Mus musculus: one gene and its partner. The protein of the gene in region 1 interacts with the protein of each later gene in a biochemical or structural test. Links are inferred from orthologs where the notes say so. Each region holds a gene or a part of one and is shown on either strand. Other genes may lie near its edges. The genes, in order: Arfip2 and Arf5.

What was found.
Region 2: the proteins of Arfip2 (region 1) and Arf5 form a complex in vitro, tested with the Homo sapiens proteins (2 studies listed by BioGRID). The link is inferred for Mus musculus from reciprocal best matches to the Homo sapiens genes ARFIP2 and ARF5.

What each region holds. Positions count from the first base shown.
Region 1 is NC_000073.6:105,637,482-105,641,811, forward strand, and holds the start of Arfip2 (arfaptin-2), read right to left. Parts: upstream 2,936-4,330; 5' UTR 2,764-2,935; intron 1,985-2,763; 5' UTR 1,943-1,984; coding exon 1,844-1,942; intron 1,625-1,843; coding exon 1,528-1,624; intron 847-1,527; coding exon 728-846; intron 560-727; coding exon 338-559; exon of another isoform or gene 245-337; coding exon of another isoform or gene 173-244; exon of another isoform or gene 81-172; intron 1-80. Other genes in the region: Timm10b (mitochondrial import inner membrane translocase subunit Tim10 B), read left to right, coding at 3,112-3,141, 3,281-3,376, 3,547-3,679. UniProt on the Homo sapiens protein: Plays a role in constitutive metalloproteinase (MMP) secretion from the trans Golgi network. May have important functions during vesicle biogenesis at certain cargo subdomains, which could be predominantly utilized by secreted MMPs, such as MMP7 and MMP2.
Region 2 is NC_000072.6:28,422,200-28,426,621, reverse strand, and holds Arf5 (ADP-ribosylation factor 5), read right to left. Parts: upstream 3,019-4,422; 5' UTR 2,934-3,018; coding exon 2,867-2,933; intron 2,333-2,866; coding exon 2,252-2,332; intron 1,901-2,251; coding exon 1,791-1,900; intron 1,450-1,790; coding exon 1,378-1,449; intron 884-1,377; coding exon 758-883; intron 551-757; coding exon 464-550; 3' UTR 20-463; downstream 1-19.

The DNA of each region.
Region 1 (4,330 bases):
CTTAGGTGAGTTTACAAGACAGAACACGGAGAGCTAGTGCAGCAGGCAGGGAGGGAATCTGATTAGGCCAAGCACCAAAGGCATTCTTGATGATGTGGAGACAGGTTACTTATGAGGTACTGGTGAGCCCTCTCCCACAACCCTTCCAACTTCTGGGCCTCTGTACAAACCCTTAGGCTGCCTCCATAGGTGAGTGATGCTGGGGGCAGGACTGGGCGCACCCCAGAGGGGTTCTCCCTGGGGGCTGCAGGAGGGAGGGAGGGAGGGAGGCTGAGGAAAGCCTGCCTGGAAGGACCAGGGCCCAGTACCCCCACCCTCTTTGTTTTGGCTGAGGCACCTGAAGCTCTGGGGACTTCTGGCTGAGGTCAGCAAAGGCATCACCTAGTGCATGCTGGGTCTGCAACAGGCTGTAGAGGTGGGCTGTCAGTGCCCGGCCCAGCTGCAGGACACTTTCATACTTGCGCTTCGTCTCACGCAGCAACTCAATCTGCAGCTCTAGCTCCAGATCCACAGTCCGGGAGCCTCGGCCAAATCTCTCTGATAACAGCTGCTTTGTGCACTGATTGGAAGGGGGGGGGGGTGAGGTCAGAAATCTAAACTCCACCCCAACAATGAACTACTCCAGCACCCCCGTTCTCTTAGTCATAGCAAAGACTACACAGTAAGACCTGGGGAAAGGGAAAAGGTCCCCACGGAGAATTTCTGAGGAGAAGCACTTGAATCTTACCTTATATGTGTTGATGCCCCATTTCTTGACGATGTCAAACTTTTCTCCAGCGATGCCCCGGGCCACCTCGTCACCAGGGCCAGAGGGTGACGTGCTGTGAGATGGATGTCGGCCAGACCCTAAAGGACCAAGTTCTCTGACACCAGTTTCTCTTAGATAAAACCATACACTTCTGTGGCTCACTCCTCCCCCCCACCCCCCCAAACACACGAAATGACCTCTCTGAAGAAGGACTATCTAGACAGACAACTGCATTCTTCTGGTCACTAGGGGGAACAAGGACTCATGTCCTGACAACCAAATCAATTCAATGTATGTATCTGGCATTCTTGGAGTAGGGTAGGAGTGTTGTTGGTGTACGAGATAAGCGGGAATAGAAGCAAACATGACATGTGCGATTGGCAGGATCAAAGATGGTGAACACAGAAAAACAGAGAAGTTGGCTTATATTTCTAGGTAGAATTCTAGCCAGTAAAAGAGTCTAAAATGAAACTCTGAGAAGCCTCACAAAGCTCCAAACTGGCCTTAAGCTCCTGAGTGCTCATAACCTTAAGGTCTTAACTTGGCTCAGATGGTGGCGGCAAGGAGGAGAAGACGAGTGAGATTATCTTCGAGACTGACTGGCCAGTGGGAGGCAGATGGGCAACTCTGGGAGCTGGCCTGGGACTGGACTGTCTATGAACTTCACACCAGCAGTTCGCAAGCTCTCCAGTCCAGGAGTCAAGCTTTCCTGTATGTGTCTATGTGCCTGCAAACTGTCTCAACACCCCACCCCTCAAGCCTATCTCTATCATTCATACCTGTGGGGATGAGTCCGTCACCAGAGCCCCCATAGCCACCAGACACAATGCTAGTTTCATTGAGGTTGGGTCCTGACACCATCACCTGCTGGAGGTCCTATAGGTCAGAGAAGAGGGGGGCACCTCAGGAACACAGGGATGGATGAAACATTTTGGGGACGGAGACAGTGCATAGTAAAGTCTGTACAGAACCATAAAGAAGATTTGAAAAGTATGAAGGAGTTTAGTTAACTGAAGGCTACCGGGACAGGGGAAATTAAAGGTTTATAAGTCAGGAATGTATAACAAAACAATGAGAAGAATCAAACAGAAGCACCTGCTCCAGCCCATCGTCTTCAGGAAGCTGCCCAGCTTCGCCATTTCCGTGGATGGGAATCTCCATTGTGGCTGCCTTCCCTAGAATCCCGTCCGTCATGGCTAGGGAAGGGACTGGAGTCAAGGTCTCCACCCCAGCACGCTGTAAAGCCCAACACAGACAATTCTGGAAACTGGCCAGCACTCCAGAACAAGGAGGCCTTCCCTGTGTTCTCAGAGGTTTCAGGGGTTGTCTTTGGGCTTGGGTGTCCTGGGATCAGCCACCACGGCTTTCCTTGAGTTTGTGTGTTTCTTCTCTTCTGAGGACATTATCTCTACAGATGCATGCATACCAAAGCCTCGGGTGTCTTCTCATAACCCCCCTACCTCGCCTTCAGTAACCATTCATGCATTCAGTCATTCAACAACTATCTAGTGAGTGTCTATTATGAGTGAGATACTGAGGCAATGGGATTATAGCAGTGAGGACCAGAGGGGAGGTCTATGCTCTCTGGGAACTTAACCCTGCAGAGGCAATGTTTACCAGAACCCTTTCCTAGGCTCAGACTCTCACTTGCCACTCAGGCATGCTCTACAATCCTGGTCTTTCACATTCTTTGGTGTTCCTTCCCCTCTTCCTTCAGCCGGTCTGGGCTCTTCCTTTCTCCATCTCATGCACCTGACTCCCTTAGGCCCTCCCCAGCAGGCCTTGGTTGAAGCAGTTAGTGAATGTTCCTGGTGTCAGGTGAAAGGCTCTCTTTCCCAGGACACGGGCAATCCCTTCCAAAGTCAGCTGAAGCCTCCCAGATGTGAGGGGCTCCCCCCACCCCCATACACCTGGGCATCAGGTGTGTCCTCATCCTTGCCAAGGGCTCAGGGCATTTTGCCCTCAGTACAGGTTCGTGCGTTCAACTTCCCTTCGTCCAAGTATGTCCTTCTCACCTGGGCCGGGCCGCTCTTCCCCTCAGGGCGCGAGGCCCGGACCGCGCGGGGACCTCGGGTTCCAGTTCTCGTCGCGATCCTAGCAGCAGGTCAGAGATTTGGCGGAAGTGACATGCTCTCTGGGCAGAAGAAGCCGGCCACGTCGCAGAGAAAAAGGGCGGAAGTGACGTTTGCAGTTGTGGGCAGGACGAGCCTGGAGCTACGCCTTCAAGCTCTTGGGGAGTAGTGAGAGTTTACTTCCGGGGCGACTCTGAGAGCTCTAACCTCCCCCCTCCGCCCCCCCAACCCCGCGCCACCCTGCCACCCCGCCACGGGCGGAAGTGACTAGGGCTGTGCGCCCTTGGCGTGATGGAGCAGCAGCAGCAGCAACTGAGAAACGTGAGTGAGAGCGCAGTTGCTCTCTGGGTTAGACGTGCAGTTTGTTTCCAGGGGTACACGCAAGAACCCGAGGGGGAGACGGGCTGTGCATCCCGGGGAGCCTTAGCGGTGGTGAAGTCGTGGTTCCCTTTTCTCTCAGTTGCGAGACTTCCTGTTGGTCTACAATCGGATGACAGAACTGTGTTTCCAGCGCTGTGTGCCCAGCCTGCACCACCGAGCTCTGGACGCTGAGGAGGTGGAGACAGTGTGGGGGTCCCAGAGTTGACAACGTGACGTGACACCCTCCCCCAGCCCCCCATCTTCTCCCTCTTTCTTGACCTCACTCCTAGGCTGGGGACCGGGAAGGAAGGAGGCGGGCTTGACTGGACCCCTTTTAGTTTCTACTTCCCTCCGTCTTCCTTCCAGGAGGCCTGCCTGCACAGCTGTGCTGGGAAACTCATCCATTCTAACCACCGCCTCATGGCCGCTTACGTGCACCTCATGCCCGCCCTGGTCCAGCGCCGCATCGCGGACTACGAGGCTGCCTCGGCCGCGCCAGGTATTCCTGCAGAACAGACCAGAGACTCGCCATCAGGCAGCTAGCCGTCCCTGGCCCCTGGAGAGAAGGTGCTTGGATGGGCTCCTCTATGGACCTTGGGCTTATCTAAATGTGTACAGAGAGATTGAGCTTGAAAGCTGGGTGCTGTTGCTCCTTTTCTTGGAGCCAATAAACCCGTTTTTACAGTCTGGTTATTTGTCTATGGGTACCAGCCTTTATTCTGTCATCTAGTGCATGTGTACTGCCTTTAGCCCTGGAGGTTGATGTAGTGCCTTCTTATGTGTAGAAGGACAAATTCAGCATTCCCAGCACCCCAGCAAAAGCAGGGATTATGGGTAGAGCTTTAAGGTTAGTAATAGCAATGGGAAATTGGTTCCAAAAGGAGAGCTCTCAGTGGCTGTCCTTGGGACTAACTCAAGGACCTGAATATACATTGACTCATAACTAGTTTTTATTTTCAGCTGTCAAAAAGAATTGCTGTGAACCTAGGGGAAGAAGGTAAAACCAAACAACAAAAGCAGGAAGAAAACTCTACCCCCTTAGGCTTTAGCCACTGCTTCCTAGGAGGTCAGTGACAACAGAACAAAGACAAGCCTCTAAGAATTCAGGAATGTTGACCATTTCCCCAATTTACTCTCTTAGTACTTCCTG
Region 2 (4,422 bases), on another chromosome or scaffold:
GGCAACAGACAACACCGGGTACAAACCACAGCAAATTTATTACTCAATATCCAGTTCCACGTCATAGCACCACCCGGAGCCCTCACTTTCCTCCCCCCAAAACCTGGCCCCAAGGGTACCCCCAAAACAAAAAAAAAGAAAGAAAAAAAAGAAAAAAAAATCAAAAAACCAAAACCAAAACCAAATTAAATCCAGATCCCTGCTCCTCCCCTGGAAGAGGGGGCCTTGGCCAGGAAGCCCATCCACAGGTCCCAGCAGGCAGGAGAGCAGAGCCCTCTGTGCCCAGAGAGCAAGGCTCCAGGCTCCAACGACAAGAGAGAGCATGCAGGCAGGCGCAGGAGCAGAGGCCTGTCTGTGGGGAGGAAGAGTGGGGAGGAAGGGCACTGCCTGAGGAGTCCGGGAGTCTGGTCATCCCGGGATGCACGCGGGAGCTTCCGGGCAGCAGGGGCCTGCCCCTGGCTGGCTAGCGCTTTGACAGCTCGTGGGACAGCCAGTCCAGCCCATCATACAGGCCTGTGCCTTGGGTGGCACAGGTGGCCTGGACGTACCACTGTAGGGACAGAGAGAAGGAGATCAGTCTCAGGGAAGAGAACTCTTCCTTGTGCTAAGCAAAGATGACAAAAATTCCAACAGAAAACAAAAGAACAAGTAACACAAGATGCTATTTCTCTTTAGCATAGACAACCCCTCTCTTTCTTCTCTGTCCAGCGGGCCCAGGAGAGCACGGGGCCCAGTGCCGAGGGGACGTGAGCCTTACCGTGCGGCTACGCAGGTGCTGAAGGCCCAGCTTGTCAGTCAGCTCGCTCACGGGCATGGCATTGGGCATGTCCTGCTTGTTGGCAAACACCAGCAGCACCGCATCCCGGAGCTCATCCTCCTGCAGCTGAGGGGAGAAGGGAGAGTGGGACCTGTGGTTTCAAGGCCCCCCGGCTGACTGCACTGCTGGGGAGCTCCCATTTCAAACCTCCAGAGTCTTTGTAGGAAAAAGACAGTGAACTGTGTAGTTCATTGCTGAACGTCAACACGGCTCTAAGTAAGCTCCAGCCCCCTAAACTTTACCTCTACAAAAAAACTGAACTATCCTAATTTAAGAACTTGTGCTAAGCAAAGATGACAAAAATTCCAACAGAAAACAAAAGAACAAGTAACACGAGATGCTATTTCTCTTTAGCATAGACAACCCCTCTCTTTCTCCCAACTCCGTAGACTTGGATGGAAAGGATTTAAATTAAAAAGTCCTGTCTAAAGTAGATAAGATAGGACTTATCTAGTGCCATGACAGAAAACCTCCTGCCCTTAGTGTTCTGGACTTCCTACCACCCCCCGGAGGACTCTGTCCAAAAGCCCAGGGCTCGGTTCCCAGAGCTCGGTATTTACCATCTTCTGGAGTTCATCAGCAGACTCCTGGACCCGCTCCCGGTCGTTGCTGTCTACCACAAAGATGAGGCCCTGGGTGGGAAGGAAGAAAGGAAGCAGAAGGGGTCACTCCTACCTAGGTCCCACCCTCACCTGGCCTGGTCTCACTTCTCCCATCTTGAGTTGTATTAGCCTTTCTTATCTGGTAAACTTCTAGTCTGCAGAGACCACTGAGGGAGGGAGGGAGGGAGCGAGGGAAAAGCTGTGTTGTTGAGAACTACAGAAGACAGCATGGCCCTAGAACTCTGCTTCCCAGAATAAGGTGAGGGTGAATTCTTAAGCTTAGCAAAGATGAGAGCGGTGACAGCCCAGTCGTGGTCTAACTCAAGCCCTCTCCCAGGGGTTGTCTCCCCCACCTCCCAACCCAACTGCACCTGAGTGTTCTGGAAGTAGTGCCGCCACAGAGGCCGAATCTTATCCTGGCCTCCAACATCCCACACTGTGAAACAGATGTTCTTATATTCCACTGTTTCCACATTGAAGCCTGCAGGAAAAACCATTTTTTTTTTTTTTTGAGTGAAGAGGGTAAAAAACAGGTCCTCAAAGGAACTCACTAAAACCACTCCGATCTCTGCAAAGGACACAAATCCAGAAGGCAATGACCACCAAGGCCAAGGGGAATAGAATCCAGAGGACCGGAGGTCAACAGATATGCTAGGCTCATGGTCCACGCCTCAGGCACCATCAGGCGCTTAGAGATACGGTGACCCATTTCTCAAGTAGCTGTATCTGGTGTCAGGGTCAGGGACAGATAAGGGCCTAGGCAGAAGTGGGAGCAGACCCCGACAAGGCTCAAAGCGACATTCCTGCTTCCCGCTCCTTGTCCTGGACTCACCTATAGTGGGGATGGTGGTGACAATCTCCCCCAACTTCAGTTTGTACAGGATGGTAGTCTTGCCAGCCGCATCCAAGCCAACTGCAACGGAGAAGGGGGGGGGGGGGGGCAAAGAATGGAGACGGGAGCGAGGGAGCCCCCTAGAGCCCAGGGACAGGGAGAGGCCTGGCCAGCTGATGGTGATGGGGGCGGAGAGCAGGAGGGCCTCCAGGTGCGCGCTCTTCTCCACCTTCCGGGCCTTGAGGGCAGTCTGGGTGGCGAGTGCCAACTCCTGCCCCTCAAGTGCCCGAGGGGCGAGAGGGGCTAGGGAGGTAGGGGACCTGGGAGGAAGGCCGCGTTCCTTTGAAAAGTCGTTTCCAAGGGCGGAATCCTCCCTTCTTAGCAGCCGGGCTGGGGCGGAGGAAGCGTCACCCCACCCAGGCCCCAGCTCCGGGTTTCAGGCCCAGGGCCGACACTGCAGATCCTGGTTTGCACGGGAGCGCGGCCCCCAGAGGCTTTGGCGGTGGGGTGTCTCGGGGTCAGGGTACCAGGTGAGCGGGGCTAGAGGGACGCGGGGGCGGGAGGGCTGCGGCGGGGCCGGCGCCCCAAGCGGGCCGCGCGCTCGATCTGCCTCACCCATAAGGATCCGCATCTGCTTCTTCCCGAAGATCCGCGAAAAGAGCGCGGACACCGTGAGGCCCATGGCGGGGCCCGGGGCGGGGGCGCGGGCAGGGGACGCGGGGCGAGGGCTGGAACCGGCCGGCCGCGGGGGGATGGGGCGCAACAGCAGAAGGAGGAGGCGCCGCCGCCGCCGCCGCCGCCACCTCCGCGCGTCCGGGTCCGCCCGACGTCACGTGGCCCCGCCCCTCCGGGTCCGCCCCGGCCCCGCCCCCCAGGCGCGTTTGCGGAAGAACTGAAGTCTAGGGAGGCCTGGCAGCCTGCCTGGGGACCAGGGCTTGGAAGGGGACTTGTTCTGGGTCTCCGGTGACCGCAGGACTTTGCTTTACTCTTAAGTGGTAAACTTGCATTCCTGAGAAGACTTTGATAGAGTCGAAAAGTACATTTAAAAGATTCTCAAAGTAGCTCATTGTCTTTTGTTTTGAAACACTATGTCCACTATGTAGCCTTGGGTGGTCTGGAACTTGCTATGTAGACCAGCCTAGTCTCGAACTCACGGAGATGTGACGGCTGCCTTGGCATCTTGAGTAGATTTTTATTACAGAAATATTTTCTTAAAACCCGTTGTCACTCTTATTTCATCTCTTTCCCTCCCCGCACCCCTCTCACAGGCTTGGTATCTTCATAATGTCACAGGAATCTTATTTTGTTTCTAGCTCCTCCCCACCCTTTTTTTTTTTTTTTTTTCGAGACAGGGTTTCTCTGTATAGCCCTGGTTGTCCTGGAATTCACTTTGTAGACCCGGCTCGCCTCGAACTCAGAAATCCACCTGCCTCTGCCTCCCAAGTGCTGGGATTAAAGGCGTGCGCCACCACGCCTGGCTCCCTCCCCACTTTTATTTCGTGTTCATGTGTGGAGGTGTAGCTCTCAGAGGACAACCTGTGGGAATATGTTCTCTCTTTCCACCGTGTGGGCCCTGGTGATAGAACTCAGGTCAGATCATTGGGCCTGGGTGGAAAGTGCCTTTACTGCTGAGTCGTCTTACAGTCCCCACAAGAGTCTTGATGGAAAAGAAAAAGGAGACTTGATGGTGTGCTCTTGAGATGAAAATCTTTTCATGTCTTGTCACCTAAGGTAAAATCTAAATGCCTTTAAGTTGGGTCCTTTGTTCCAGCCTCATCAGTAGCCACCCTTCTCCCACACCATAAGCTTCCTGGGCAAGTTAGGCTCACTGATGCCTGACGTCCCTATACACCTTTCCACTTTCCTCCATGCTGGTTTCCCACATCTGCATTGAGCTTGGCAGTCTACTCATCTCTCAAACTTCAAATCATTTCCCCTAAGAGTCTCTGTCCTGGCAGGTGCCTCATCTCCTTTATACCACTTCTGCAATGCCCCGACACACTAGTGTGAAGGCAGGAGCTACCTGTTTGAATCTCTGTGTCCTTGCTGTTAGGAGTTTCTTGGGACAAGGCCATGCTTCTTCAGTAGTGCTATCTGGCATAGCATGTAGTATGTTGAGAGGCAGACTGAGATAGGACTCCTAAACTTCCTAGCTGAGTGACATTGGACAT